Oryzias latipes: one gene and its partner. The protein of the gene in region 1 purifies or fractionates together with the protein of each later gene. This does not show direct contact. Links are inferred from orthologs where the notes say so. Each region holds a gene or a part of one and is shown in the gene's direction. Other genes may lie near its edges.

Region 1 (16,511 bases):
ATGTGCACTATCGCAAAAATCTCTTACATGTTCAGTCATGCATCATTCTGAAGGTGCCATGAGGGAAGAATTAATGCCATCGAAGCTGTACTAAAGGGCATTTTTCAATTGGAATTGTTTGCAGTATACTGAAATGCAAACAACATGTACAGCAGAAGATCGATAAGTTATGTAACCTAAACCCTTTTTGTGTATGTGTGTTCTTGAATTTAATACATGCAAACAAAGTCCTAGAACTGATTCATTGGTCAGACTAAGGTCAGGAAAGCTTTGGCAGTAATAGACACCACAAACATACAAAGACATGAACTTTTTCATTCAAGCATCTTATCTTATCTCTCAGGCAGTGAGCAAATCCGTTGACGGGTAAACAGCCCCAAGCCCTGCTTCACTGTTTCAGCTGCTCCCTAACATGACGAGAAAAGGGCAGTAAGTGCGTTCCTTGGTAAAAAAAGAGCTTTTTTTTAGTTCAGATTACAATTCATCAATGTACACATTTAAGACTACTAACACCAACAGCTTTTGAATTCAAACAGCTCATAAGTGCTTAATTATGCTTTAGAGATGCGATGAAATAAAGTCTGACTAAAAAGAGAGACGCTGGAGCCCGCCTGCTCCTTTTGACTTTCATATCAAGTGTTTCCAGAAGCCGTTGCACTATTATGTCTCCATGGGTGCTTGCAAGCAATGAGAACTGCTAAATTTTCCTAATGACATCATTCGAGAGCATGTGGGTTTAAGAGGCCTGAAGAATGTCCGACAACATTCCCAAAAGAATTCCACAGTTCCCAAGTGAACCCAGGAGGCTGTGCAGGAGCTCTGGAGGCCTCTCTATTGGAAGAACCTGTTGTAAAAGATTACTCTCATTAGGGACAAAAAGAGATTTTTTAATAAAGTTTGAATGAAAAATATTTTCTGGTCTATATCGCAAAGGAGTCTGTGTCGGAACATTTTCCAATTATAAAATATGGGGTGAAACCTCCATGAATGTAATTACTTTTGATCACCTGATGCCCTCCCAGATCTCAGTGTCATCTTTGCTGTAATGCTGTAAAGAATGGGTATACCTATTGAGTTCACATGCTTTCAATACTGTTCTAATGACACACGATTGAGTGAGGCTGACAACACTGAGTGTGTCTTATTGCAAACTAAGGCAAATAGACTGACTCATTCCCAGTAAAGACAGTTATTAGACGCCATGCCACAAGTTTTTAATGCCATTTAAGCACCAGAGTCATCATCTTTTGAACGATAGCGCTAAATTCCCATGTGTAGGACTTTTTTGATCCTTGGTTCTGACATCACTGGGAGAAAATACTAATGAAAAATCAACAGAAATTGTGTTTTCATATGTTCTTTGTTAAACCGATGACTTTAAATACCTGCATAATTTTTAATAGAACACTTTTTCACCTTAACAAGGCATGAAAACAAAGTTTTCGTGTTTTCCACTAATCAAAATGCCCACAAAATGCTCCATTTTTGGCCAGAATAAAGTTTACTGATGATTTATGTGTCAAAACATTCCCTTTAACTGCTTTCACCAAGAACTGCACATGGGGAGAAAGCTGAAGTGTTAAACCTGTTGAAAAAGAAATGAGTGACTGGAAAGAATGACAAACAGTATGCTGTCCAGTATGAGAAAGTCAGAAACCTTTTGCTGCTGTTTCCAACAACAGTAAAAAGTAAAAAAAAAAAAAAAATAGGATTGCTGAGAAGTGCCGTAACATCCCTTTGGATGGAAAGAATTTCAATCTTGACTGAAGCAAATGACACAAACAAGTTTGAATGCTTTATGTCTTTATTGAGTTAAAAAACTCCTGTTCAAGTCATTTCCTCCTTTTAAACCAGGGAAGCCAAACGGGATACAGTGAAGTGAGAGACAAGAAAAGAAGGAGAAGCTCGATCCCAACATCGCAGGAATGCTCACTGTCCAGCCTGCTGCTCTCCCACTTGCCCGCCATGGTATGTGTAATTACTCCACAATTAAAGTGCCTTTGTTTGTCTTCTTGTGGACCTCGAGGTGTTTGATGACCAAACGTGTCAAAAGGTCAGACGTGAAGCTAGAAGTGGATTCACAAAAGGGTGGGTCACTGTGAAAAACCTTTATTAAAAGAAAATATTGTATTTCCCTTTGACTTGGTCAAGAAAAAGACCAGAATCCTGCGGATATTAAGAGTGCATAGTGCCTTTTTTGAATAGCTGCCAGGTATTACTGTATGTGACAAGTTTTGATTGAAACACTAGAAAAAATAAAATGTACAAGCTGATATAAGCAGACGGTTTGGTGTGCTGTATGCGGAAAAAAAAATTAACGTTTGCTCTACTTGCTTCTACACTACAGTGATGTGAAATAATACATACAGGTATAAAGAGATTTAATAAAAGTGCTCTACAAACTTTAACCACCCAATGGATTATGTAATTATAGAGCTTAGTGTTGCCAGAGTAGGTAAAAATGTTACATAAGTCTAACATTTTATCTCATAAACTTCCTGAGATTTTCCACAAATAGTTTCCTTTAAAGTATTCTGACTGAATTTTTCCTTATCGTTCCTAAAGTTGCTTGTTTCTTCTGTCTTTTCCCTCAAGCATTTTTTCTCCCTTCGGTCTGTGCATTGTTCCTCTCCCTAATCTGCCCACAACAATGCACGACGACTGTCACAGCGCTACCATCATACATAATCACTGAGCCTGCAAGGCACACACACATACAAATACACAAGAATACAAAAAATATCATCTGTATTAAGTATTCTGCTTTCACGGATCCTAGTACAAACTTGAAATGCAAGATTAAAAATTGAATCTTCCACCTCCCACAACCACCTTTTTCCAATATTTTGCACATTTCCAACATATTACACATTTCTATTTCTGCATCCAAGCAAAAGGTGTAGCTGCATTTGTATGTTAGCATATTTAAATGAACCTGTGGCACAATTATTTTTTTTACACATATTTGGGTTTCCCTTTTAAAGTACATGCCACTATGGGAAGATGCCACAGTCTGCAGTTTCTATAAGTGTTACTAGTAAGACAGAATTCGCTTTGAGAAACTGTTAAATCAAAAATCACAAGGAAAACGGCTAAATGGATTTTTCTCCATAATCATGGAATGGTGAACACTTTTTTTCATATAAATCCTGATTTTGGAAACGAAGTGTAGCTGAGTGTAGCTATTGATTGATATAAATGCACACACAACACACAAGAAGAGACTGTGAGTGTGTGCTTTTCTTTTCTGAGAATGTGTTCATTCAAACGTTTCATCAGCTGGAAATTGAATTGTCTTGAGATGAAATAATGTTTTTCAGTAACTTGGTTCCAGTTGGAGATGGAATGCAAAAAAGCAGCCAGAGCTGTAGCATGACAGGATTTGGTCAGCCTTATGAGGAGGATTTATAACTGTGCTGCTGGGCACGCCTGCCACTCTCTGATCTCAACTATGGCTCCTTCTAAGTCTTCAGAACTCTGTTCACTGGAGCTACAACCAAAACTAACGAGTTCCAGGAAGATTTAAAGGCTTTTTAATTTCAGAAGAACTTAAATCTAAGTGTATCTATCAGTTAACAGAAGCTTTGTATGTGATTAATTCAATTTAAAAAATCCTAAATTAAATTAAAAAAATAATAGTTACTATAATTTCACAATGAAATGTGTGTCAACAAAGAGTACATGGGTCATCTTGGTTTGAGCTTCTTTTCAGACAGCAGCAGGTTATTGAGTTTGATGACAACGTTGGCAAAGTCAGTGAGTTCCACAAAGTCAGAGGTGATGATGTTGACTCCATCCACCCCTGGCTTCTGACTTTCAATCCAGGACATGATGGTTGGCAGATTTCTGGAGCCACAAAAGAGGAAAGTTAGTTTTAGAAGTGTTACCAAACTATAAATCCACTACGCTGTGAGGGTAAACGAAGGAACCGAGAGAGGAAAAATAGTTCAAGGGAGTGTCTGTCACTGAGAGAACAACTTTTCCATAGCTGCCTTGTAAAGTTTTTGTCTGCACACTCACAAACACCCAGACACCAACACTGTGTCACTTCAACATTATCCATAATCCACTATGTCAACCGAGACCAGAACAAAAGCAGGAAGTTCAAATGTTTAGCCACGAGAGGTAAACAATCCCATTTCCTCCAAGGTGCAGAACTAGGTCACCTCCTGTCTCTCTGGAGTGTCTGTTTGGGCCTTTTCAAACTCAGCTCTGGCGTCTGCTTTTCTCTGAGCCGAAAATGCGGAAAGTGAATCTTTGGGTTGGGAGATGCGCTGGTTTTCTATTTAAATTTTAGGTTCCATAACTGGATTATCATAAAAGTGACTTCAAAGAATTATGAAAAGATCGACGACGTGTTACTTTTTTGTTAAATACACAAGATGTGTGGATTAGGATGTTTATCTAGTCCAAGTTTTTTGGTAAAAATATATTCCAAATGAGCTATTTGATAAACAATTATTAAATATTGTTTTAGTTAATAAAGTTTTGTCCTTTACGTTTCGAGTTTTATTGTGTCAGATAAATGATTAAAATGAACGTACAAGGTTTAATCTACCATTAGAGTGGTTTGTTATTTGAGTTTACTTAAAGCTTATACTGATTTTTTTAATTGGAATTCTATACCACTCTTATCATGTTTATATTTGATGGTAAAAGAATGACGGTGGATAGAAAAGCCATGTTTGATTTGACGTCAATCTCCTGCAGAAGGAGGATCTTATTTGGCACAAGGTGTATTTTATTTTGAAAGGAACTTGTATGTGATGCCGTCAAAGGTAAAAGAAGTTAAAATTGTTGTATAAAGAATATTATAGCACTTTTGTTTGTTAATATAAAATATAAAATGTTATTCTACATTTTATGAATGCATGGCCAAAAAAATATAAACGAATTGTATTTTTATATACGGTGAAGTGGGACTTTGTGCGTCTCGCTGGGTTTCGGTCGGTAGGAAACTGGACCAAATGGCTCTTTTAGCATTAGAGATTGCAGATCGTTGATCCAGATATTTACTGGTATACATTTTTTTTGTCTTATACGTGCTAACAGCAGCATTTACTACCCCCTACAGAGAGAAACTAACTTTTAAAACTTCCAAAACACTCAACAAACTAATATACAGATCACAAAATGCTCAAACTTGTCTGATTTTTTTTTATTTTGCTAACAATATCTTAAAAAATGACACATGGCTACACAGTACTTGCAACGGTGTGTTTTAGCAATTTTTTATGAAAAGGAAGAGCTTTTTTAAATTCCAAAAATTCACACTGACCTCTCCACCAGGTAACTGCGCAGTCCCCACACAAGACCCTTAGCCACAGTGTTGACTGTTGGTGTGAGGATAGCCTGGGTAACATGGAAGGACCCCTGTTTGGCTCTTTCCTTTAGTGTCATCTCAAGGAACTGCAGAGGAGAAAAGTAAAAGCTCTTGAAGGAAACACCGGGAAACTTAAGCCTTCTTGAAGTCATTCTAGATAACAGATAATTTCGATGGAAAAGCAGACATCTACATGGGTGGGGAAAACAAGCAACACTAACTTTTAGTTGGATCTGTCAAATGCAAAGAAGCACAGAAGACTTCGAGACGTTCTCGTACCTGTATAAGCTTGTTTGGCTCAGTGGTATTTGCCCAGGGAGCGGGAATTTTATTTCCAGGCCACATGACAGGGATACTCTGTGCTGACGGATGATGGTAGAATACAATCACCTGCAAGGGAAAAAAGGAAACAAATTACACTGAAAGCTGGAATTACTGTAAATAGCTTGTTCAGATGGCCAAACGGGTATTTTTAGGGTTGAATAATGTTTAGTAACTTGTGTTTTATTCTGCTCACAGTTACCAATGTTTAAAAACAAAAACAATTGATCTTTATTAGTGTGCATTAAATCTTAGGGTGCCTTTACATAGACTTTTTTGGTGTAAGAGTGAGAGGAAAGGCTGCCCTCTGCAGGCACTTTGTATAATCTCCTCCTCTTTGTCTTTATCCTGTCCTTCCTGTCCTGACTGCTGCACTTTCTCTGTCCCCTTTGCCAAGTAAGCCAGTCACAGATTAGGGTCAAGGGAAAAGGAAATTAGTGTCAGTTCTTATTGAGACCTAGCACACTATGTAACATTCAAATATCAGGGTGCAAACATAAAAGAAATGCATGGACAAAAATGTAAATGTGACATCAAAGAAGGGTTTAGTAAAGAAGGAAAGGTTAAAAGGTCGGAAAGGGAAAGGTGACAAGTGTTAATTGGATGATGCTCACTGCAAATTCTTCCCCAGAAAGACTTTAAGTGGCAGAGATTAGTTAATTCACTATTTTGTTGGGTCTAAGAACAAATGTGAGAGCTGGATTGCGACAGCTTAATCTCAGTCAACCAAATTCATAATCTTTTTGGTTTCTTTTGCAAACCCCCAAAAAACTATTTTAGTTAGTTTTCATTGTGAAAATTCATATTTTTATTGATTTTAGTTCAGTTTATTTCACTGGTTATTAGAAATTGGTTTTAAATAGAAATTTGAGAAAAAATGAATTAAATCTATTTAAATCCTAAACTTATCTAGACATTAGATGCAGGTTATGAAACTACATTACTCTCATAGGCACAATAAAATTTAACTAGCAACAAAGTTTGTAGCTGCTTAAAGACAAAACAACTTTATTTTTAAGTGTAATATATATATATCATATGTGTGTGTGTGTGTGTGCGTATGTTTACAATTGTGGGGAAGCAAACCTTGGCTGAACATTTGCACCTGTAAATGTTCAGTGCAGACCTCACCTGGTATTTCTTCTCCCACATGTAGTCCAGAGTGATGCTTTCCACAGCACAGTTTTTGCACAGCTTGCTGCCAAACACTTGTTGCAGCATGCTAATGAGATGGACGTGATGCTCTGCCTCCATTGCATAGTAATGATTAAAATCCAAAAACACCACCTGAGTCAGGAGTGGACTGTTAGCACAAAAGCAATTGAGCAGCAAAGCTTTTTATGTTGCCTACAAACAATAATCACCTCTTTCCTGTGTCTGGTTAGGAAGGTGTTAATTTCTAACAGGCCATCCCTCACCTTTGGAAGCAGACAGGAGAAAAGCTGGAGGTCAGCTGACATAAAAACTGAGCTGAAATGTCAAGATCAAAGTGTGTCTTTTTTTTTTACAACCTTGAAATTACAGGTGAAAGCAGTTTAGTGCAAAATCCTGTCATTATCACATCAGTATTTTTCTAAAAAGCATTTCCAGCTTGCAGTCGTTCTCATGGCCAAGTCCTTGGAAAAGAGTCAAATAAGAAACAGGCAGGTTGGAATTCCAGAGGACCCATTTCAGAGAAGGGGTGACCTCACTCTGATCCCTGTAGCGTGAGTCATCTCTGGAAGCACAGATGTCAGGTTCTCTATTCACCTTGTGTCCAAAGAGGCCGTGGATAAAATAGATCTCGTTGCCCAGTTCTCCTGGTTTAGAGGAAACTCTGAGATCAAAGTAACGGATTCCTGCATCGAGCTGCTCCCTGAATGTCAGATTCTAAGAACAGAAATGAGACGATCCTTAAATTCATGGAGACCATACACAAGTGACCAAATCTATAGTCTGATTATTTGGGGCATCTACCTGTGTCATTGACCACTTTACCATAACCTTCTTTGCCAAGACGCTGAACATAGTGGCCAGATACTTCACATAGGCCTTCTGATCTGGAGCCACAGGCGCGTGCACATCTACCCAGAACGTGAAGGAGTCATGAGATCCTGAAAGGAAGAGGAGGAGGAGGAGAGAGTGAGAGATCTGACCTAAAGGACACGTTGTTCTCACGACACTCAAAAGATTAAACTGGAAACACAATGAATCTGTTAGTCCCTTTATTTATAATCCACTGATCGATATTAGTTGGGCATAGATGTATAATTTGACTTTATTTAAAGTGTTTCCGGTTTGGCTGCTCACCTGGCACCGCGAGGCATTTGAGGGGCATGGCACTAAGTCTGGATGGCAGAGAACCCATCCAGTCGGCATTGACGTTGCCGATTCCTGCAGGTCTGGTCCTCATCTCTGCAGCATCAGGAGCCCGCTTCCTGGCCCGGATGCACGCCCGGTAACCAAATCCCGTAAAACAAGCGATCACGATCCATTTTCATCATGGAAGGTTCCAGTTTGTTTATTCTCTACAAACCAGAGCAGCAACGAGCGCCATCACCGGTGTGCAACCGGCGCGCAGGTTGGGCCGCAACTGCGCAGCGTTGACAAGGCCAAAGAGAAAGAGGAGTTAACGACCGCGGTAAGCCTCTTATGGTCAATTCCCACTTGTTACACCCTTCTCTCCCGCCCCCTTCTTCTGCTCCTGGACTTAACCTGCTCCGCGGGAAACCTACAACCTTTCCCAGGAAAAGCGGACACTTTTTTTTAACCTCCTCAAGGTGAGAAACCTGGAAGATTTAGTCGATTTTTGTTTAGTCAGCATGTTCCATAGTTCCAGCTTGGCAGGATGGATGCGCATAAAGCAGTAATCAGCTCAAATGGATCATCTTATCAGTGAGGGGATGCACAGCAACACCCATGATGAGGCCCAAACGGGTTAATTTGTCAAAGCACGATGCGATGAATTTATTCAGTTAGATAAGTAAATAAATAAACATGCCAGGAGGCTTTGAACTTGGATTCACCAAATATATCCCGTTAAGTGTGGCGCATATAAACTTAGATGGCTTTTTACTGCCTTAGTTTTAGCAGTTTGTAAAAACAACGACTTTTATTCCACTGTTTAATAAAATGTGGTAAAACAAATGCGGTAGACTAAATATTTTTTCTTCTTTTACGTGAATGTAATAGATTAAGACAAAGTGTTGAACAAATATAAACTAAGGGCAAGACTTACAGTGTTTGATTGTATGACCACGTGGCGCCATCTAATGGTTGAAGTTGCTAATTGCTACTGCTTAAACGAGCATATTGAATAATTGCATTTTCTAGAATATTTTAAAAGCTTTAAGAAAAAAAAGAATAGTATGTATCTAGTACTAGCACATAAACTTGGTTTAATGTCGTTTCACATGGAAACAGACTCAAAACAACAAATAAAAATAGATCCTATAGCTGGGATTTTACGTGATGCATTTTTATGTATTTCTTTTATTATTGGTCTGCACATTATCATGTTTCGGGAAAACGTTAAAACCAGCGTTACAAACATGAACAGATTCGGATTTCGATTTACGCGGAGTTTAAGTTTAAGACCCATGATGCTTTGCGGCTGCGTGGGAGAGACTTACGCCTCGAGTCCGACGGCCAAAACAGGCGTCTCTTTGCTGTGTGCGTTTCCATGGAGAATTGGAGCGCACACGCCGTGGTCTTATCGTGAGAGCTGAGCCCCTACTGTGTCCGAGTTTCTCTTTATCAGCAGCTATCACCTGTGGCAGACAACGGCTGAGGGAGGGAGCGACACCTCTAGCTGGTGAGTTTGACAGGGACTATAAGATAAAGGGGGGACACCCCCGCCTCGTTACTGTAGAAAGATCAACGCCACAAGCCTGACATGAACGTTATCTATCTATGAGTAATTAATATCATTATATTACTATAATCACTATTATTTTTCTTACCTAAATTCTAATTCTACGAACATCATTTATGAATACTCCGTTCAAATTCCTTAATACAGTAAATAAAAGTTTTGCAATGTAAACAATTACGATTCAGTGATCCTATTTTGCTCCGGACAAAATAAAATGCCATGTTTGTATTTTTCCATTGTGCTTCATGTGTATTTTTAACCTTGATTAGTTCCCTAAGGTCATGTGGGTTGTGGATCTTAATTCCTTTTAAATCCGTCCCCAGCAGATTACAGACCCGTTCTTGAAGCAGCCCAGTGGATTTGCCTGGTTTTCTTTGATGTTTTAAATTCTATTTGTTTGTGCAAAATTAGTATGATTATTATCGTAACTAGTGTATTTTTAGTGTTATTTACTGTTTTAATAGAGCTCTGTGGTGACATTCACTTATTAAATTCAATTCTTTTCTCTTCTAATCAATTGAAACAACAGGTGACACGTTTTGACATTTTTTAAATTTTACTCTGTTATGTGAGCCATATCTAATATTTGTGTCAGAAAGGGATTCCAGTGTATAGTCAATAAAAATAAATCTTATTTCTTTTTTATTTGGCTGGATGCAGTTGCTTTTTATTGTTGTTTGAGACTTAAACAATTCAAATGTATAATCATTTTGTAATAATAACCATCTAGTAGTGCACTTACTTGGCCATCTCCCTGTCACTGCTTATTCTGTTGGTTTTTTTTTTTTTTTAACGTAAAAATCTATTCATGAGATCCAAAACAGCCTTTTTATCCGGATGTGATGCATCCATGGAAAATTATTAACTTTGTGTTTAAAGGTGCTCGGAAGCTACTTAATTAATGAGGAGGTCTGATTAGTCATATTTATAAAAGCTAAGGCTATTGCTGCTTTGGATTGCAAACAGTTACCATCCACAAATAACAGTTGTTTTTCATGATGCCTGAACAAAGCAGCTGATGGAGATTGTGTTTTGGACTGAGAGGTATTACAGCAGTCTGATTGGTGTGGCCCCGTGGCGTCAGGTAAATCCTCTTGACGAGCAGGGTGCCTGGGGAAGGTGCATGTTGGTGATGTAACATCCTATTTGCATCTCTGTTGGGCTTAATCTTCCTGAGGCTTGCCATGTCATCTCCCTTGGGTGCTCATGTCGGAGCCTCCTGCAAACACTAACGTGGCACGTACCTAATCCTCCTCAGTTGGTGAAGAGCAGGAAACAAACAGCCCAACCTTTCAGTTGTTGCATAGATGTTGAAGGCAGTATAGAGGAGGGGCTTCACTTTACAGAATTCTGCTTGTAACATTTAACCTTTTTTTAATTTTTTTTTAGTTCCATCGCTCCCTGACCTGCATGTCAAATGGATTTGCTAAAAAGTTGAGTTTTAAACTCAAGTTTCAGGAGCAAAAGAGCACGAGAAAGACGGATCTGATCAATGAAAAAACATTAGGCGGCTGTTGAAAGAGATGATGAATCGCTACACCACCCTGAAGCAGCTGGGTGATGGCACCTATGGGAGTGTGCTGATGGGGAGAAACAACGAATCTGGAGAATATGTGGCCATTAAGAGGTGGGTCTGATCATTTCTGTTATTAACAAATCATTTTTAAGGTTTTCTTAAAATCCTGAGACGTAAAATCCTGATAGAATAATGGAAATCATTCCACTTGACAGTGAGGATGTTGCTCTACAATGAGGTTAAACCATGAAAATTTTTGATCAACGAAACTTTGACAAAAAGGACGTTTATTTTTTATTTTAAACTTTTCGAATGATTTGTTGAATAAAACTAGCCATCTCTCATTTACAGTATTTAAACAAAACAACGGCAAAAAAAAAATCACTTTTGCTATTTTTGTGTAGCTCCTGTATTTTAAAAACTTTTCCCTCCAATCTAAACTGCCCTATAAAACCAGAAGACTATAGGACCAAGATAGTCTGACAAATTCAGTTTCCCTGTCAGCATAAGTAAGCAACCAAACCGGTTTGCGTTGCCTTGCTTCTGCGACACAGTCTCAAGCGTCAATAATAAATGAGAAAGCAGGGAGATGTGTCTTGTTGACCATTTGGTTACTGTGCAAGAAAATACGTGCGGTCTTGATAAAAGCCAGAGAAAGTGGAGGGGGGAGGGTGTTTCAGGTTGCTGGCATTGAGGAGGGAACTAGGAGAAATGGATATGTGCTATTCTAAAACGCTTACGTAATTCCAGAGGGATGGAGACACAATGTGGACTGGGGAAGAGAAGTGAACGCCAGCTGGTATTGTGTTCACAAACATGGCAACACATGTGCTGATCTACATGCCTTTTTAACTAAATGCTACAGTTTCTTTGACTTTTTGGTTTTCTTCTTCTTCTTTTTTTAACATAATTGGTTGAAATAGAAATTTGAACAGGTCCAAAAAACTCAATTATTAATTAAGTCAAACAAAGGAGTGCTGTTGAGAGAGTTCCCGTGTTATGATGTGTCTTGGATACAGTGATGGTTGTGTCACCATCTTCTTCAGTTGCATTCTTGCATTTTTCCAGAGTTGTTCTTTTTCCTTGTCTTTTTCCAGGATGAAGAAGAAATTTTATTCATGGGATGAGTGCATGAACCTAAGAGAAGTGAAGGTAAGAAGGGAAATCTTTACTCTTGAACAAGCAGCATTTTTTGTAAAGTATGTCAAATGGAAATTGTGATTTTATCCAAATCATAGACATTTCTTATGCTACGTTCACACCGGGCATGTGTTGTACAGTAAAGGATGCGCTAAACGTGGGTTCTTGGTGTTCACCCCTGATACTAGTGCATGTACCTACACATAGAAGAGGCTTGGTGCAAAATTTTGAAGCTGTTCAAACCTATTTATTAATTTCTCCCCCATGATCAATTTTCAAACCAGTGGAACTTCCATGAATTGAAAAGAATGCTACCCACACCTCACTTCCAAATCCGAGTCTCTGATTGGTCAAACTGGTTTAACTTTCAACGTATTTCAACACGTAGAGCCTGAAATTGGACGTAACCCTTGTGCTATCCTAGGCACTTTACCATTGGGAGTTGGGTCATCTAGACCCACTAGACCAGGGGTGTCAAACATCCGGCCCATGGGCCGTTTCCGGCCCGCCAGGTGGTTTAGCCCGGCCCACACATGAAGAGTAAAATTCATAAGGATGTTTAAAAAAGAAAGCAAGTTTCTAGTCAATTCCTGTGGCGAGTTATGATTTTTTAAAGAAATAACCGAAATGCGCAAATCCACCACTAGGGGGAGAAAAGAAAAAGCTTAACAGGTGAAACAACATAACTCTGTGAATTCCCTGTGAGCCTCAACACTGAAGGATGATCAGTAGTGACACCCTAATGACCAAAATTTTGTCAAAAAGAAAAAAAAGGTTGAAGTGAAGTCCTGAGCTTTCCAGGAAAATGGAAAGCGTTTTATTTGTTCACGGAGCTGAATGCAAACCTGCATGCTTGGTATGTCATCAACAGGTTTTCCAAGAATATAACATCCAGCACCACTATGAGACTCACCACAAAGAAAAGTTTCACCATTTGCGGTTAAGAAAAAAAAAGATTTAGCAACTATTAGCTGGACCGATAAATAACCATCTGGATTTACTGCAGCCGTGATGTCAGTGATGGAGCAGTGACACCTAGCTACCTTACAAGTTGGACCAAACATCCAATCCATTTTCTGATGGTGAACTTATTGAAAAAAGCTGAAGGCTGCAGAAGTCTTCCCAAAAAGCAGTCGACCTTAAACATGAGTCTGTCAAGAATTACCACTTTAGATCCAACATCTCTGAGGAAACATGGGCAGCCATATGAAGGAATCCAGTCATTTATTGTATTTTCAGTCACTATTGATGAAAGTACCAATATCACAGATGTATACAGCTGTGCATATTTATTAGAGGTGATGAAGAGACGTCACAGTGGAGTTTCCTGAATTGATGGACACAACAACAACTGATGACGTAGTCAGCTCTCTAGTTAGTGTGCTGGACGATGTTGAAGTGAACTGGTCACATGAAGTAATTTTGGTCACTGATGGCGCCCCATCAAAGGTCAGGAAGAAGGCAGGTGTTGCCACAAAATTCAGGCAGAAACCAGGAAAAGATTCTTATAATAATTAATGATAATAATAATGGACATTTCATTGTGTTTTGCACACTTGAATGACAGTAAATGTGTTTCTGCACAGGATTTCAATCCTGATATTGACGGTCTTGTGAAGTTTCAGGAGAGAAAGGAGGTTAACTCCAAACTCTTATGTTCACAAATTTTTGCAAGTTTAATTTAGTGTAATTTTGTCATCGTTTGGACGTTTACATTTTAGGAAGATGTTTCATTTTTTTCTGTAGCCCCTCTTGAATTTATTATCAGGATTGCTTCAGTGTCAGATTTAAAATATTCATTCTGTCTAAAATTCAATAAAGCAATATTTTTTAAAGTGAAATTAATTTTATTTAAGATCTATTGGCCTCTGTGAATGAATGTGTAATAAGAAATGATTAGGCTACCATGTTGGTTGAGGCATGTTTTCCAATTGGGTAAAAAAACAAGAATAAAGCTGTTATTTTGCCTTTACGCTAATGGTCCGGCCCACTTGAGATCAGACGGGTTGAATGTCGCCTCCGAACCAAAATGAGTTTGACACCCCTGCACTAGACAGTGCGCTGAACCTTTTTTCTTCAATGATTTGTGATCCTCACTGGTGTCCATGGATTACATGAAATCTTTCCACCTTGTCCACCTTTGTCATGGTAGGAATAACACGTCAAAGTAAGGGTGGGGTCATCTAAGATAGCACAAGGGTTAAAGACTTGTGTAGCGATGCATGAATGTTTGAATTTTGAACGCGGAAGTCCAAAACCCACGAGTTTAAATAGACTTTACATTGGTAGTAGTCGCTTGAACGCACGCTGACAACGCCTGTGTGAACGTAACATTACACTAAATCTGATGTCAATTAGATGCACTAAATACTGTTTTTTTTCTTTTAATCTTTTGTATCTTCCACAACATCACTACAGTCACTGAAGAAGCTGAACCATGCAAACGTGGTGAAACTAAAAGAGGTTATCAGAGAGAACGATCACCTCTACTTTGTCTTCGAGTACATGAAGGAGAACCTGTATCAGCTGATGAAGGACAGGTAGGAAAAGTATCTACAGGGCAAACATTTTGGTTGGGAAATTATTTGTCTACCAGAAGTAAAAAGCAGCTAAACACTAAAGTTGTAAGTTGAATCCAGGGATTTCCAGTATATTTATATTTATTCCAGTATTTGTGTCACCTCATCATGCAGTTCCTTCTCTCAATAAATTTTGTAAACAGCTGTTGCCTAGCTGCATCTGTGGAAAAATACTTTGACTTTAGATTAGATTCCCACAAGTGTGCAACGATTCAAAACACACCTGAGATTTGCTGTTAGAGATAACAACAGAGTTACACCAAGCACCCAGGGTGGTACAGCCTTTGGTTGTGTAATAGAGAGAAAATAATACTGTCTACTTAAAAAAGCATGTTGGTTTTATGTTTACAGAATAAAAAAGTTTCCAGAGTCAGTGATAAGAAATATAAGCTTTCAGATTTTACAAGGCCTGTCATTTATTCACAAACATGGTAGGTATGCCGCACCCTCCTCCTGTTTGCAAGCGTGTCACAGGGGTTCCATCCTGCAAGATTCTGAATTTTTATCATTTCAAAGTTCATGAATTTCTTCATACCATAGGGTGAGATTATATAAATGAACCCAACACAATATTAATCGAACCTTTCATCTAATTCTTGTAGTATGTGAACCCTCTGTGGCTGCTTTGCTGTGTGTTTTCTGCAACTGATTTAGGTTGTTCTGCATGATGAATGAGTGTGATGTAACCGTTGAATTAATAAATAACTTTAATGTGAAATTAAAATAACATTCACAGTGTATTCTGGGCTTCCCTTTTCCTGCAACTTTTTCTCTCTCAAAATTTCTCCTTTTTTCCTTCCCTCCTTTATGTCTCTGCTGTGCTGTTAGAGAAAATAAGATGTTCTCGGAAAATGAAATTAGGAACATCCTGTTTCAAGTGCTGTCTGGGTTGGCTTTTGTGCATAAGCATGGTAAGCATGGCATCTTTTTCTTTCTGTTGCTTCTTTGAAACGTACAATGTAGACCGCTGTGTAGTGGCTTTGTTTTGTGTGAATCGGTCTTGTCACTGTACAACTTATTGCTAATATGTTTGTGTTGCAAATGTGTTCACACTAGTTTTTCTTTATGTTCATAATGACTTTTTTTACACATTGATTGGGTTTTGTTTGCACTCATACTTTAGCAAATTGATCCATAGGTTAACACTTAAAATATATACAGCTATTTATATAACAAGAAATGTATATATGTTATAATTACTTTATTATCTATGCATTATACCCTTTCTGTAATGAGTTTGATCAATCTGTGTGATGTTTTTATTATATTGACTACAATTAATGCTTGAAATAAAAATAAATCAAATCAAATTATCATTTTTATAACCTATTTAGAAACTATTATAAAAACTGTTCTAAAAAATACCTGTACAGTCTTTTAAAGTAATTTTTGGGAATAATTTTACACAGGTTTCTTCCATCGAGACATGAAGCCAGAGAATCTCTTGTGTATGGGCCCAGAACTTGTCAAAATAGCAGATTTCGGACTGGCTAGAGAGATCCGCTCCAAACCCCCATACACAGATTATGTGTCAACCAGATGGTGAGTATTTAAGAACGACTAAACAAGTTCAATACAAGATAGACCCATAAAAGCACTTCTTTACTTTAGATTTTCAAGCTAATATGATCAAATTACTCATTTCTTTTCTTTCATATTAAGGTATCGTGCTCCAGAGGTTCTTCTCAGATCCTCCACTTACGGCTCTCCCATTGACTTGTGGGCTGTGGGCTGCATCATGGCTGAACTTTACACACTCAGGCCTCTTTTCCCAGGAAA
Region 2 (15,796 bases), on another chromosome or scaffold:
GCAATGTGGGTTCATTTACTCTGATTGGCTTCACGGCGACTTACTAATACATGCAAAAAACCATTGATCTCAGTGGGCGATTGAATTACATTGTGTTTTTTTGGGAATATTTAAATCTTGGTATGGTTTCCACGGTAACTGACGCACCATCTCTTGCGTGGAGTGGTTTTGAGTGCTTATTGGGCTTGAGAAGCAGAGCTTGTTTTAAGCAGTGGCTTTGCTTCCAGTTGACCTCAATTCTGTTGATGTCCACCAATTTTCAAGAGGGAATTAAAGGGATGCAACAGAAAGTCAATGACACTGGCCCATGTCAGTTGCTTCATAGATATCATCTGGGAGACATATATTGCAAGTATATCCAAGTATGAATACTCTAAAGTAAATGGATAAACTTGCAGTATATTTAGAATAGTTGGAAGTCTCACAAAGGTCCTTTTGTACTCCAAGAGTTTGAGTTTTTGCATCTTTAAACTGCAACACAAAAATATGCAACTTTTGAAGTTATTTTGATTGCATAAATAATGGCTGTAATTGCACAGAAACCAATGACTTGTTAACTTGCTGTACTCTGAATGCTATGCGGAGATTGATGTTAAACACATTTAAAATCTTGAGACTTTTCCAAACTGTGCACATAAAGTGCTACTTTGAAACGAGTGTTAATTAAACCTGCTGGTTATCAACAGACTGTGATAAGGGTCCAGTTTGAGGTTGGGTATTACCAGGTTTATTTGGTTTACATTTTTTTCTTTTCTTATTTTTTTGTTTGTATACCAAGCATGTTCATTTCAGTTTATAATGAAATATAAAAACAAATAAAAGCAGGTATGTATTTTTACCCTTTTCTGCCCTAGAAAGGTTTTTATTGGTGGAATCTAAAGACATGGAGTGGTGACGTCACATGCAAAGCCAAATCGGAGACCGGGAAGAGGGCGTGTCTAACAATGAGCCACTCTCATTGGTGGGCAGCTATCCTGGTTACCAACCAACAATACACGAGACACATGAGAAAATAGGGAAAATAAATGTGTATTTCCAGTCGTAATGACCCCCCTAAAAACAATAGCGTCTTTACATAAAGTGAGTATTTCGCTACATTTACAAAGGATTTCGGGAGGGGGAGGGTAAAATATTCAAAAGACTTTGAAGGCTGTATTTACTTTTTAAATTATTGTATTTGTTAACAACTTGTCACATGCTAACTCACTAGCTTTCCGTTTGTTATTAGCATCGGCGCTAGCTTGATTTAGAAGCTTGCTAATGTTGTGGATTCCTATGAAGATCATTTATGTGTTTAACTTTAAGCAGTATTGCAAGCAGAAAAGGAACATTAATCATCTAACCGTAACTTGTTAATGTTGAACAGAAATGGTAAGCATTACCGGACGACAACTCCCCGACTGTTACACAAACGAAATGTGGGATTATAATAAATAAAATTGTTACCAACGAGAAAAGCAGACACAAAGACTAACGGGGTCGTTTTGTTCAGATTCTTCGAGGATGTTGTTGTTGCGAACATGAGGTACGTTCTTGTCAGGACAGATGTGAATGTTAACCTTGGAATTTCCCCCTTTCAGCGATGAACGAGTTGTAAAGATGCCTTAAAAACGTTCGCTTTCCTGCAGATTATGGGATAGTTTCTTTAGGTCGGTATCATCCGCAGCACACAATGGAGGTGAGATGAGTTTTATGTAACCACTCATTTTCTCTGTCGCTAACATGTTTTCTTTATTCGAATCAACTGTCAACTCACTTTTTTCTCAACCCCCCCGCTTTACGATCAAGAAAACCTCTGGAATCGGTAGCCAAGAACGACCCCCCCCCCCCCCCCCTACAGATGTTATTTTTCACTAACAAGTATTTTCTATTTCCCTCCTTAAAATATTCATTGCCTTCCTTCTCTCCCTGACAGAAGCTGTAGATTTTGACTTGTAGATCCTAAGTAAGACCCTCCTATTTTCTTCTGTTGCATGATTTCTCATGGTGATGGAACTGGCATGACTTGTGACTGTTCTGACACTGCCAGTGCTTCTTCCACGTTCATTCTGCTCTGTTTCCCAGTATATCATGCTGGTGCTTTTTCTTGTCTGTACCATGTTTATAGTATCATTATTTATTATTTACATATTATTGAATTTGCATTTTTTATTTCATTTTTTTTGGTCATTTCTGTACGGTTTATTGCCGCAAAGATTCATATTTGTGTCTCTATTTGCCTCTAAGACAAGGGTGTCAACTTATTAAAGTGACAATTACAGTTGCATAGAAAACATATGTTTGCTTGTTACTCTAGCATAAATCCTTTTAAATTTTGTTCACTTATTAAAACACACATAACTCCATTAATGAAGGATCAGACTGTCCAAGTGAATAAAGAAAAATAACAAAACTGAGCTAAAAAGAACATGTATTACACATGTAACATTTTACAAAAAAAGGCTGCATACAGCCTTGCATCCAACTGATGGTTTGATGACAACAATTTGTCTGCATACACACAAAAGACAGTAGCTACACATAAATAATATGTAATCAACAAAAAAAAATAATTATTTTAAGAAATTAAAAACTTTTATGCTCTTGCGGGCCACATTAAATGACACGGCGGGCCACAATTTTCCTGTGGGCCTTGAGTTTGACACAGATGCTCTAAGACTTTAAGCTTTTAATTCAGCTTTTACTTACCTTTCTGAACATTTCACTATTAGTGATATGTTTTAACGTTTTTCTACAATAAAGCTTGATTCTATTTTTAAACCAGTCTGAGAGAGCAAAGTTGCATGCATAAATGTTTCAATGCCTATAATTAGGTTTTTTGTGAATACTGGTGTAAAAAAAGTAGCGCCTTTTTTGTGCCATCAGCTGTGAGTTTTTATGACTCTTGATCGTGTGTGGTTTGTTTTATGCATATGTTCCGGCAGAAGACTAAGAAGTGCCAAACGGAGAAACCTGCCTTTGCTGGAGATGACACTCTGGATGAATATTTAATCTCCCTCCAACACAAAAACAGGTGAGGTGTGAGCACAGGCGGACCCAGATGGCCAGATTGGATTTCACAGAGGAGATGATCTTGTTTGACTTTCAGTGGTGTCCAGCAGCTACACTGATTAGTTTGAGTTTTGGCTTTGAAAAATACATTTTTATAGCTGTGAAGTTTATGGACTTTGTTTTGTTTTTTTAAGGAAGTTTAAATGGCTTATTATCTATTAAAATATTTGACTTAAACCCTGTGATTTTTTATTTTACTTCTTCTTTTTAGGTACTGAACAGTTTTCTTTGGTTTTCAGAATCTTAAAGCGCCTCAGAGTAAAAGGCCCCAAAGAGATCGAGTTGGAACGTCTTGAGCAAGGATTTTCAATATATCTTAACGGAGCCAATGCTGAATGTAACAAAAGGCAGCCCAAAAGCCCCCCAAAAAAGCCTGACTCCTCTCTGCATGCACATGCGGCTGGTATGCTGTGTTTAAAAAAATCAATTTCATATCAAACATCCTCTTTTTTTAACTTATGGATGACATTTTAAAGGCTTGTTAGCTACAATTGAATCAAGCTGCATAGTTCTGTCATATGAAACAAATTCAATGCAGCAATTAAAGACCACCTCTTCCTCAGCTTGTGGTTTGCATGCTCTGCTTCTGTGCTCAGTCATTGTGAGTAAATGGAAGTGACAATTATAGCTTGCAGCAATTATTTATTTGCCTGCTTTTTTTTGTCATTTTGCATGTGCTGTGCACCATCTGCATGTGTCTTTCTCCCCTGAGGCAGCAGTCTGCTGTATGCTGCTCATGCTCCTTTCTGTGCTCTGACTCATCTGCAGATGTGTGTAGAAGCGCCCACCAGCTAGCCGGAGCTAGCCGCTTTCCAGATCAGACAAACGGTAAGAGGAGCCAAACCGCCCCAGAAAAGGTTCAGAGGAAAGAATGGGTGCAGGTACAGCCCTCTAATATTACATTCTATGATTTAACAAAGAAAAAAAAAACCAATATGTTTTTTATTTACATAATCTCCCCTTTCCTGTCTTAAGAATTCAGTTGAAATACAAACAGAGGATGGCCCAACTTTGAAATTAACCCCAGAGACGCGCTACTCTGATGATTTTGATCCCTATGAAAGTGTAGACATGGAGGTAGGGTGACGATTTCCACTAAGACGGCGTGTGTGGGTGTTTTAGGGAAGGCATTGTGTGTAAGATGTAGCTGTCTCAACCACTCAGCATCTCTCTATCTTCTCTTGTTTTTCCCATTTTTTTTTTTCTTCTGACGACTGTGATTCTGCACAGAGCTCTAGTCCTCTCTCAAGTCCTCGCTCCCCTCATAGTCCCTGCTGCCAGAGGGACCCCTGCAAGGTTTCACGCTCCAAGCCCGAGAGCCAGGGAGGCCAAGCAAGCCAGGAGCATGCTGAGAAGGTGCTCCTGAACCTTGAGGAAGTGAAGGTAAACGGAATATTACACACAAATATGTGGGGAATTTTCTTATCACATAGGAAATGTAGATATAAGTCATCACAAATTATAACATTGTCAATGTCTGCATATTTGCGTGACTGATGACTCCAGGAATTGAAGCGTTTTTGCCTGTCTGAACTAGGTTTTGCGTCGGAACCTGGAGGTTAGCATGCGACGGAGCAGCAGCGTTTCAGCGGGGGAGGAGTCAGATGAGGAGTGGGTAGAGGAGCAGATTGAGAGAGAGGACAGCACAGAGAGTCTGGATGAGCTTGGGCTCCCCCTTTCCTCCTCCAAGTCCTCCTCTAACTCGGAACCAAGCCGGACTCAGAATCACTTTGACTCAACGAATCTCATCGTTTTGGATTTTGGACCTTCCCCAAAAGGTCCGGCTGGAAACCTGTTTCTTTATTTGCTCTTTTAATAGCAGCTTTTGAACTCAAGTTTAAATTGAATCTTTGATTGAATGGCCTCTGTTTGTAATTACAGGTCATAAAATTGAACATTCTCTTTCTGCAAAAAGGAAAGAAAGCGTTGACACCTTTATACCAGTCAAACCTGTGTTGGTGAAGAGCAAAACTTTAGATAGGCCACCTTCACAAGATGGCTGGGACGGTCAGAGTAAGTTGTACATTTGACTTTTTTTTTTAAATCTAAAGAAAGTTTTCTTTGAACCAGTTTAATGTATTGCCATAAAGAAATAGCTTTTAAAAAATCTGTCTCTCGTTGAGGGCCAAGAAGTCAATTGGAGAGATCCCTGTCAGCCACTAGAAAGGCTTCAGTTGAAGAGCGAGACTCAGAGGAAACGCGGTACATGGTGTGCCAGGCAATACAGAAAGAAAACGCTTCAATCCAGAACGCTGAGCTCTTCAGTCACGGCATGGTCTGTTTGACCCCCCTATATTTAATTTGCCTTTCCTAAAGATTGTACATTTACTGTGACACCATGATGCCGTTCTTCTGTATCCAGTTTTACTCTGTGTTTGCTTTTGTTTTCAGTTTGGGCTTGATTTTAAGCGTCTATGTGCTAACCTCTTTTGCTGTCTATTTGTTACCGTTTCATCCAGACTCGGGGACACCAGATGATGGATGGCTTGAAGCCCGACATCAAACACGACAAAGATGAAAACAATGTCACAGTGGCAATGCAACGCATAACGCTCATGGCTCCCAGGTAAGACAGCAGTTCAGTAAAAATGTTGTAGGTGTCAACTCAGTTACTTTAAATAATGATTGTTGCTGCTCCAGGGCTCAGCCATCACCCAGCTGACAAAACTAACAAGCTCACAGTGTCAAACATTTTGTTTAGGCAACAACAGACGCTGTTAAAAGCCCTGGAGAAGCTCGAAGCCGGACCTAGCCACAATATTTCTCACAATGTTAGAACAGATCACAGCAAGCAGACTGTGAGTCAGCAACACGTCTCGCAGATCAGAGTGAATAATCCTGATGATGCCTCGTTACACCAACTGTGGTTTGGTGTTGCAGAGAGGGCAGTCGCCAGCAGAGGTCACCCCTGCGTTGTACGTTACCATGGAGATCCTGTCAAACTGGGGAAACTTGCTCCAGGTGGGGCTGACCGAGGTGCAGTTTTTCTGCCGCAGAAACAAGAAGATCTACGTTTCCCCTCATGACCTAGATGTCAGGAATGCCGACTTCCCAGGGAACCTGGGTGCCCTCGTCAACGGAAAAATGAAGGTGGACATTGTTCCGCATAAAATTAAATAGTTGCTCATTCTACAAGCTTGCTAGTTACACTGGTTCTCCCCAAATTGGGGTTAAATCTCTGCTTACTTCCTGTTAAAAATAGGAGGATGATGATGATAGGATGATTGAACAAACTTATGCTTTTCAACCTGACTACAAATACATTGCTTGTTAACAGTACCTTACTCCTTTCTTATTGTCGTTTTTGGACAGACCACTAAAGAGCGCTACATGTGGACGTGCCCTTTCCACCCTCCAATCCAGCTTTATTTCATCATCAGAAACATGGAGCGCTCTCTGGATTTTGGAATATCTTGTATCAAAATCTGGAATTACAACAGAAGCCTCAAAGTATGTGCTTTGTAACCAGTTTGGGGGTTTACTCTGAATTATTTTCTAAATCTAATGTCAAATGAATATTTATGGTGTCTTTATCGAGTGCGAGTTTTGTTTTCAGCAGGCTCCACTAGCTTTCGTGTGGTTGTTGTTGTTGGGGTGACTGACGGTTACGTGAGAGAAGTGCCCGTCTTCAAGCTGTGGTTGGCTGAGCCGACAGTCACTCCATCCAAATGTGGAACACTGAGAGATTAGCCAGAGGATTAGTGCGGATTGGGCTTCTGTCTTTGAGCAGTTTCTGCTCATAAAGGGGGTACAAAACCTTCATTATAATATTTTGTAGCTTCACTAATGTCCCCTCTAGTTATACCTGTTTGTGATTTAATATCATCGAGGTCTTAAGCTTGTGAGGTAAGTAAATTCAGACAGGGCAGATTTATTTTGTAATAGCACCACTTATTGCTAGCCTAGTACGTTTGATAGGATATGTAGTAATAATAAAGGGTTCTTGAAATGCCTTACAGTTTTCTATCAATACTGAAACTTTCAAGTTTTCCTCTTTATGTTTTAGGCTTTGTGGAGATGATTTGCTTCATTTTGACCTGTTTCTAATACATTTGTAGGTGTTAAGCATTTCTTTAAGTTCAAAACGCAGATCAGTCAAGGTTGTGTATGTTTCAGGACCTCGACATAGGAGCACGCCATGTAAAGCTTTACCTGAACAGCACCCTGGTGTTTGAAGGTGAGCTGGAGAAGGGCTGCGGCAGTCAAGTCTTTGACTACAGCACCACAATCAACCTTCAAGATTCCCAGATCCCAGAGTCGTCCTTCTCCACCCCTGTGTGTTCTGGGCACAATTTGAGAGGAGCAACTCCCCATCACTATGACGACAAGAAGGGGGCAGAGAGCGGCAGAATGCAGCGATACAGAAGTTCAGTAGCATCGTCAGATGCACCAAGCCAAATTTTGGTAGACATGCAAGAAAAAGCCCACACCCCTCTGCTGCCCCTCATCCCATCAGCCACTTCTTCTTGGCGTTCCTCCACACAGAAGAACTCTTTTGACCTTGCTTCATTGGAAGAGTCTCATTGTCTTAGGCAGCAGGTAGAGCAGCTGCTTCCTCTTGACCAGACGGTCACCACTCAGCCATCCTCCTCAAGGGTTGCCTCCCAGTGGCTGCAGCCTCTAAGCAGAGGTGCCCCAGAGGGCTCTGAAACCAGCAGGGAGAAGCCTCTGTGGCTGGTACCTCAGCACTCTGGCGAATCCAAACCACCAGCAGCCTCATCGTCTTCAATGCTACCAGAGCTGCCTTGTAACCCGGGCCGAGTGTGCCGGGGAGTAGACAGGACAGCAAACGGGGGTCAGAAAAAGACTGGTTCTTTGGACTTGAGTGCGAACCTGCTGGAGGAGTTTTTGGAGCCAAAGGCAGAAAGACCCGTCAGTGGACGCAGAAGCTCCTTCAGAAGTCCTTCAGTAGTTGGAGTGCAGGCAGAAGAGCAGCATCAGAGGGCTGCTGCCGGGACAAACACAGGTGTGTGGGGTTTTCTCCTTCCATTTGCATTTTTTCTGTTTTTCTCATAAATACCAACTAACCTAGCTGCTCACAAAGTAAAACACTCTTAAATACATTTTTAAAATAATGAATTTTAAATAAACCTTTATTGGTCTAAAGTTTAGAATTATTCATCAAGCCTTTTCAGCTTTACTTTATTAATCTTGTATTTTGACGTGAATTACAGACTTTTCGGACTGTGGATTAGGACCGTTTGACAGACTTAATGCAGTTGTTTATTTTTAGTATTTTTGTTTGTTTTATGTTCATAAGCAAATGCTCTGGTTGAGCATAAACAGAAATAAACACTTTAGGGTTTGCATTTAGTTTGATTTGTGTCTATATCGCAGAGTCTGGTATTTATGCCTTAGAAGATCCGATGTCTCTGGTGAACCCGGACAGGAGACAGAGCAGCTCCCGGGCCCAGCTGCACAGCCATCAGGATGACACCCTCAGGGAGTCCTGGGATTCTCTCATAAAGTTTAACCAGTGTCAGCGAGGACGAATCTCCAACATGAGCTTTGAAGGTGACATCCTCGATGAATTCCTTCAGTATAAGAGACTGGATACCCCCACAGTCCAGAATAACCTTTCTACAGCTCCCAGAAGCCCGCTGACTTCCCTGACCTCTCAGGGTCTAACATCTGAAGTGTCTGAAGATGATCCATCTGTGGAGCGAGAAGACGAATTTGAGATCCCTGTGCTCCCACAAGGACAAAAGTTGGTTATAAACATTCTGTCCACATGGGGAGATCGCCATTATGTAGGTCTCAATGGCATTGAAGTGTTTAGCTCTTCTGGGAAGCCCCTTCGCCCTGTACATATCCACGCTAACCCCCCAGACATCAACATTCTGCCCGCGTACGGCAAGGATCCACGGGTGGTCACCAACTTAATCGACGGTGTTAATCGCACCCAGGACGACATGCACCTTTGGTTAGCGCCCTTTACCCCTGGTCGCAATCACAGCATCTTCATGGACTTTGGAGGCGTGTGTCAGATTGCTATGATTCGTATCTGGAACTACAACAAGTCCCGCATTCACTCATTCCGCGGTGTGAGAGAAGTGGAGATGCTGCTAGATGGAAGATGCATCTTCAGAGAAGAAATCGCCAAGGCATCCGGAACGCTCTGCGGAGGTATCTGAGCAGAAGGCTTCATAAAATGTACACTTGTGTCACTTTAGTGCAACCTTCCCTCATTCTGGTGTCACTTTAGAATTGGATCAGTTTGGAGACACCATCCTGTTCACCACTGATGATGAGATCTTGGAAGCCATGTCTCGTTATGATGAAACCTTCCTCGGTGAATTTGAGGGTCATCAGAGTTTGGCATCTGAGGAGGAGCTGCAGAGGCCGCGCACCGCTGATGGCGAAGGAGAAGAGAGGCCGTTCACACAGGCTGGCTTCAGAGAGGAAGACCTCTGTGTAAGAAGAGTTCACCAATGACTTGATTTTATAACTTGGAAACAAATAATTTTTGTATATTTAAAGATTCATGAAAGCTAAAGGATTTCAACATGGACAAAGAATTGCACATTTGAACATTTAAAAAAAGAAGAAAACACTAATATTAGAAGCTTAATTATGTGAACTTTTGTTCTTTTAGTTAAAACATCCACTGAAGTTACCCTTAAGCAATTATGAGGAGAACGTGGAGCATATTCCTGGGATGTACACTGGAAAGTGTGAGTCAACTGATCTTTCTCTTAAAGACCCACTCTGAAGAAAATTACGGTATGTTTTTGGTGTTTTTGATGACTGAGGAGACTTATAAAGAAAATTCAGCTTAAAATGCATTTCTGAGGGTTTCTTTATCTGGATTGTTGTGAATCAAAAACAGACAAAAAAAAATTCTGGTTTGAAAAAAAGCTTATTTGTGACAGAAAATACGCTGGGCAGGCCACAAGATCCCTGCTCTGAGATCTCAGCAACAGGAAGGGAGGGCGGGGTTCTTCAGTGCCAGCAGTCCCACCCATAATTCAATGGCGAATTTCTGAATAAATCTTGTGGCTCTGCAGAAACTATATCCTAGAAAACAACCGTTTTTTTAACAATTTTATTTTGGTTAAAATGGAATAATCATAAAAGACCACTGTGAACGCTTTGAACTGTTTTGCATCACTGTTTTTGTTGTCAATAAAATGTGTTTCTTTTGTCCTTTTAGGCCTTAGAGTAGAGTTGGTGATGACATGGGGAGACTCCCATTATGTGGGCCTCACAGGCCTGGAAATAGTGGGGAAAAGTGGTGACAGTTTACCTTTAGATCTTGGCATGATGGCTGCCTCCCCGAGGGACCTCAACGACCTAGAGGAGTATGAAAATGACCTGCGAACCCTTGATAAGTATGTCTGACCGAGTCCAAATGTACAGTACTGAAGGGACTAGTCTTTAAAAACCCGTTTTGTTCTTCAGGCTAATTGACGGCCACAACGTCACCACAGACGACGAGCACATGTGGCTGATTCCTTTCTCCTATGGAGAGCCCCACATTTTGAGCATCACCTTCACCAAACCCCAGGTTATAGCTGGCCTCCGGATCTGGAACTACAACAAGTCTCCTGAGGATTCATACAGAGGGGTAAGCTATCACTCAAATGTCCAAATTCAAACACAAGCTTGGTTAGCACGCATAGTTCTTCTGTTTTAGAGGGAATAAACGAATGCAGCTCTTTGTCATCAAGTAAGTGTAAAAATCTCTGTGTTCAGGTGAAAGTCGTCCATTTGTTTTTGGACGATGTTGCGATCTCTCCCGTGGAAGGATTCCTCATCAGGAAAGGACCCGGCAACTGTCACTTTGATTTTGCCCAGGAGATCCTCTTTATCAACTTCCTTCAGACGCCAACAGATAATAAGAAGAACAAAGAATCTCACAGGTATGAGGTAGAAGATCCACACAAACCTCTCTTTTAAACCAAACCGGAGAAGATTTTATTAAATATGTTTAATGTTTATACTTTAGAGTAAGTTCCAAGAAGCAGGAACTGGCCAGCATGGATTATGAAGCTCCCATCATGCCTTGTGGATGTATCCTTTTTTACACTAATTTAGCATTTTGGTTTAGATAGTTTTACTTTCATACCATCTACTTTCTATTCAGCTTCTATTTCTGTAAAAATAGAAATGGAAAAAAACCATAAAGGTATTCTGATATACCTTATAACCAGCAAAGGCAAGGCTAGATTTAGTTTTCCTCTTCAAAATTTAGAAAGGTTGTCACAGAGGTTAGCAAACTTAAACCTAAACAACTAAAGTTTGATCAAATACTGGCACATAAGTTTTAAGGAAGGAAAAGTTTTCTAAAGAAGAAGACATTTGATGTGAAGAAAATTACTTACATCTACAGTTTTATACAAAGAAGTTGTTTTACTTTTTCTTTCTTTTTTTTGTTCATTTTTCCTCATTGACTGAGTTTGTCTATTCGTGTTTAGTTGTTTCAGTTATACCGTAATTTCCGGACCATAGAGCGCACCTAATTATATGCCGCACCCATTACATTGTTAAAGGATAAACCATTTTGTACATACTTGAGCCGCACCTGTCTATAAGCCCCATGTGCCCACATTGAAACATGTGTTGTAGAGTGAGGATGTGTATGTGCTGAAACCGCGCGTGTGTGTAAGAAAGAGGAGGGAGCACATGCAGCGCAAGGATGGTGGATTTTTTCACACTGCTTTTAACTTTAAAGCTGCGTCATATGCATTTCTTCTTGCATTTTCCATAATAAGGGTCTGTCCGTGCTATTCATTCACAGAGCAGGAATTTACATTAAACTTGTGTCTTCCTCGACACATATACCGCAATCCCCCTGTCTCACTCTTACCCTTTCTGATCGAGCGCCCCTAGTGGTCATTAGAAAAAATGCATTAAAAAAAAAAGAAAGAAAGAAAAAAAATGCATAAATTAGCCGCATCATTGAATAAGCCGCAGGGTTGAAAGCGTGTGACAAAAGTAGCGGCTTATCATCTGGAAATTACGGTAATTAACTCTTTCTGGGTCAAGTGATCTCTTTATGCTAGACGAGTGAGTTTGGAACAGTTCTTAGAACTTAAAAACATAAGAAAATAGACCTTTTTTTCTAGACTTTTCAATAGAGTTATCTTAACATCCACCACTTTTGCAGCACTTAGAGAAAATGCTGCAAAATGCTGCAAAAAGAAGAAAGAGGTTTGATTTTTTTCTTTCTGTTCATTCTTTAACATCACCTATCAGTCATATTTCAGCTGCAGCTTTTAACCACCTGGGGAGATCCCTACTACATTGGTCTGAACGGCCTGGAGTTTTATGACCAGAACCACGAGAAGATCAACCTCTCTGAAAACAGTATCCTTTTGTTGGAGCCATTTAGACTTATGGTTACACCTCTTGCATTTGTGATGTGCCACTCAAACTCTGCGTGGTCACAGGATTCTTTCAAACCGGCTGTCAGTTGGGGCTTATGCCAGCATTTTGGAATTATTCATGGTTCATTGTTCTCCATCGCTCCTCAACATTTTGTCCACCAGACATCGCAGCATTTCCAGACAGTGTGAATGTGTTGGACAACATCAGCGGTGATGTAAGGACTCCTGAAAAATTAATAGATGGAGTCAACAACACACACGACGGCAGACATATGTGGTTAGCGCCCGTGTTGCCAGGATTGGTGAGCAAGAAGATTTATTTTTTATTTTTTTATCCTGGTTTGCATTTACGCAGAGTTTTAACATGTTTGTGATGCAGGTGAACCGTGTCTACATTATCTTCGATCAGCCCGTAACCGTTTCCATGATCAAGCTGTGGAACTATTCAAAGACACCTCAGAGAGGAGTTAAAGAGTTTGGGGTAAGCTTTTTGGTGACATTTGAAATTCTTTGTTTGCATTTGGATTTCAAACCCCATGACCGTCTGTGCATAGCTACTAGTGGACGACCTCTTGGTCTATAATGGCATCTTGGAATGCGTAAGCCCCCGAGCACAGGGAATCCTGCCCACCTGTGATCCAGTGGTCCCGTACCACACCATCTTATTCACAGACGATACTTACATCGCTCATCGCGAGAGAAACACGGTCATCAGGTACGCCAGCTTTTTCCCTCACCAATTACCTCTTTTTTTCAGATCTGCTTAAAACTAGCCCATATGAAAAAGAAAGTGTAAAAAAGAGCTGTCAAGCTCCAATAATTCAGTAGTTTTGAACAACTATTCTTCACTTCAGCCTTCGTGGCAGCAGACACCACCGACAGTGAGTAACAGAGCTCAGAAAGTTCCATGTTAGCACCTCCCTGTGGTCAATCCCTGTAAAGATCCCACGTCCTCAGATTCCCCCTACAGTTCCACTCCCTCCTTTCCACGTGTCCGATTTGTGCTCGTTCCTCTTCTCCCCCGTGTATTTTATTTTAGAGCTTCAAGTGTCTATATCTATGTTGTGCAGGGAAAAACAACAAAAACATTGACCTGAAAATGCCCGCCATGTTCTTGTTCTTGCTGCGCAGTAATCACGTGGAGGACCAGGACGTGAAGATGACCAACGAGAATCAGATTGTTCATCACAGCAAGAAAAAGCAAACGGCAGATCCAGGTGATTTAGCAGAACGACTGCTTTTGTATACAACTGTATAAAACTCTGGTTTTACATGTCAACATCAAAACCTGTGTGGTCTTCTTCGCCTCAGCTCTCCGGCCTAAAACCTGCATGACCGATGGTGGAAAACATGGAAAGAGGAGGTACTAACTGACGAGTCAACACAGAAAAAGGCAGAATTACTTTAAAAAGCGGGGCCTTTGGCAGTGAAACAACCAGCAGCCACCTTACCAGGTCTCATAATGGCAACATAAGTGGACGGAGCATGGACACTCACAGGGACTCCACTTTATTTTTGGATTTCTTCTATCTTTTGCTTTCAAAAGACTCACAGGTTTTACCCTGACCACGTACTGTATCATACCTGTTATCCCCTTCCCACAGTGCCAGGAGAACACAAGATGCTGTGTTTTACCAGCCCTTTAATTGTGCCTAAACTCAACACTACATGTGGCTGCTTTGTGTGAATCTTATTCTGCTACACTAATGCTGCTTCTGACATAATGCTCAAAGATCTGATAAATATATTCACGTCAGGATGTTGGTAATTGTGTTTTGTATCCACCTAAGAGCTGAGCGCATCCTCATATATTCTAAATAATAAAAAGCCAGATGTAAAGCTATGCAGCCACCCATTTCTATCCATAAATGATTTCAAAATCGAGATGTTGGAAACTTACATTTATACAAATAATTATGATAAATAATAGGTACATCATTTAGTGCGTTCAACTTATAAGAAAAACTAAAGTTATGCAAACATTTGTCCGATTGAGACCATAGTTGACCAAAAAAATTAGAAAAATTAGAAATTACACATTTTTTCTAAGTAAAAAAGTACTGCAATCCTTTATCAAAGATGCGGTTTTGTGGATTTTTGGAGGCAAACATAGATGCAGAGCTTTACAATGATTTAAAAAAAAAAGTATATGAAATGGATAGCAAGCAGCATCTGTTATGCAAATACTGTTCGATTACCTCAAGATGAAAAGTATGCCGTTTAAAAGGGAAATATATATTCCACTTAGTGCTTAGATCGTATTGTACCTTTCTTTAGTCAATATTTAAAGACGTTGCATGGAAGTGTCCTCAATAATAGTTCAGTTTGAAGAAGTTTGTACTGTTTGTTAAACCCCAGTACCAACGACTTTTGCACTCTGTACTCCTGAGAGTAACTGTACATGAAATGCAGTTGTATGTATTTAATTTCAGAACAGCAGCGATGCCCATTACTGTGTATGTCAGTTCTGCTGTTTGGAACAGTTGATTTTGATTTGAATATTTATTTTTCTAATCTTATAAGTGTATTTGATGTTAGTTTATTGAAATGAATAAACTTTGAAAATTATTTATCTTCTTTATTCTTGAAAAAAACATTTATTTGATGTAGCTGATCAAGGTATAAGTATATATATATATATATAAAGTATCTTACCAGATTGGGACTAATGTGTGATAAAGGAGAGGAAAATACCCAACACTTTCAAATATGTATCCTGAGTTTTTAATGTCGAATCGACCGTACATTTCTCTGTTTTTATAAGAAATGAACATTCAGTACTAGTGTGCTCCTGAGGCACAGCAGGACAAACATTTAGCTGAAGAGGTTTGACCAGGGCAGCTTTAGATTTTTCCTGGAAATGTCCCCTCCTCTCGCTGGTCGTCCCATTTCTGGACCTACAGGGACAAAGTTTTTAGAGATGGTCAATGCTTCTGGATAATACAAAGTGAGAATAAACCAAAAAAAAGCTCTGATTTTTACACAATATTCCATGTTCCTGATCTGAAATGACAATCCACACTGACAGATTGTGTGGCCGAGTCCATTCTATTAAATGTGCTTCCTTTGGTATTAGAAAAAAAGGATAAGCTCTACTAATGTTTACATCATTTTTAAAGATTTGTTCTGCAGTGAGAACTTAAGGAGGTTAAACTCCACCACAGTAAATAAGGAAATCTGAAGTCTGTTTCTCTCCATTCCTGGATTCTATTAAAACTTTCAGGAATGGAAGGAATGACAACTTGTTCCCATGCTAAATAAAATGATTGTTTTATATTTAGCAGAGGCTTTTTATATTCTGCTTCTTGTATGCTTGAGCTCGTTTGTTACGGTTTTTTTCCACTAGGACTTGTAAAAACGCTGGGAATTATGGGGTATATTTACCCAGGACATGGGGCACAGAGATTTGTAGACCC

Evidence for each region.
Region 2: the proteins of mak (region 1) and kiaa0556 purify together in Homo sapiens (affinity purification with mass spectrometry; 3 studies listed by BioGRID and IntAct, with this or other methods). This does not show direct contact. The link is inferred for Oryzias latipes from reciprocal best matches to the Homo sapiens genes MAK and KATNIP.

Annotation. Positions count from the first base shown.
Region 1 is NC_019878.2:13,140,128-13,156,638, reverse strand, and holds the start of mak (serine/threonine-protein kinase MAK), read left to right. Parts: upstream 1-8,170; 5' UTR 8,171-8,264; intron 8,265-8,293; exon of another isoform or gene 8,294-8,403; intron 8,404-8,417; exon of another isoform or gene 8,418-9,437; intron 9,438-10,886; 5' UTR 10,887-11,020; coding exon 11,021-11,124; intron 11,125-12,110; coding exon 12,111-12,165; intron 12,166-14,571; coding exon 14,572-14,693; intron 14,694-15,083; coding exon of another isoform or gene 15,084-15,163; intron 15,164-15,560; coding exon 15,561-15,643; intron 15,644-16,141; coding exon 16,142-16,274; intron 16,275-16,394; coding exon 16,395-16,511. Other genes in the region: PI-PLC X domain-containing protein 2, read right to left, coding at 3,687-3,846, 5,279-5,409, 5,603-5,713, 6,776-6,931, 7,009-7,062, 7,394-7,513, 7,601-7,737, 7,934-8,036. UniProt on the Homo sapiens protein: Essential for the regulation of ciliary length and required for the long-term survival of photoreceptors. Phosphorylates FZR1 in a cell cycle-dependent manner. Plays a role in the transcriptional coactivation of AR.
Region 2 is NC_019877.2:9,506,330-9,522,125, reverse strand, and holds kiaa0556 (protein KIAA0556 homolog), read left to right. Parts: upstream 1-933; 5' UTR 934-1,080; intron 1,081-1,580; 5' UTR 1,581-1,672; coding exon 1,673-1,678; intron 1,679-1,915; exon of another isoform or gene 1,916-1,945; intron 1,946-2,924; coding exon 2,925-3,013; intron 3,014-3,290; coding exon 3,291-3,454; intron 3,455-3,819; coding exon 3,820-3,932; intron 3,933-4,026; coding exon 4,027-4,128; intron 4,129-4,281; coding exon 4,282-4,434; intron 4,435-4,588; coding exon 4,589-4,829; intron 4,830-4,932; coding exon 4,933-5,064; intron 5,065-5,174; coding exon 5,175-5,326; intron 5,327-5,510; coding exon 5,511-5,617; intron 5,618-5,752; coding exon 5,753-5,849; intron 5,850-5,931; coding exon 5,932-6,141; intron 6,142-6,363; coding exon 6,364-6,501; intron 6,502-7,167; coding exon 7,168-8,017; intron 8,018-8,388; coding exon 8,389-9,177; intron 9,178-9,256; coding exon 9,257-9,465; intron 9,466-9,646; coding exon 9,647-9,725; intron 9,726-10,204; and 23 more. Other genes in the region: cytochrome c oxidase subunit 6B1, read right to left, coding at 15,224-15,277, 15,765-15,796. UniProt on the Homo sapiens protein: May influence the stability of microtubules (MT), possibly through interaction with the MT-severing katanin complex.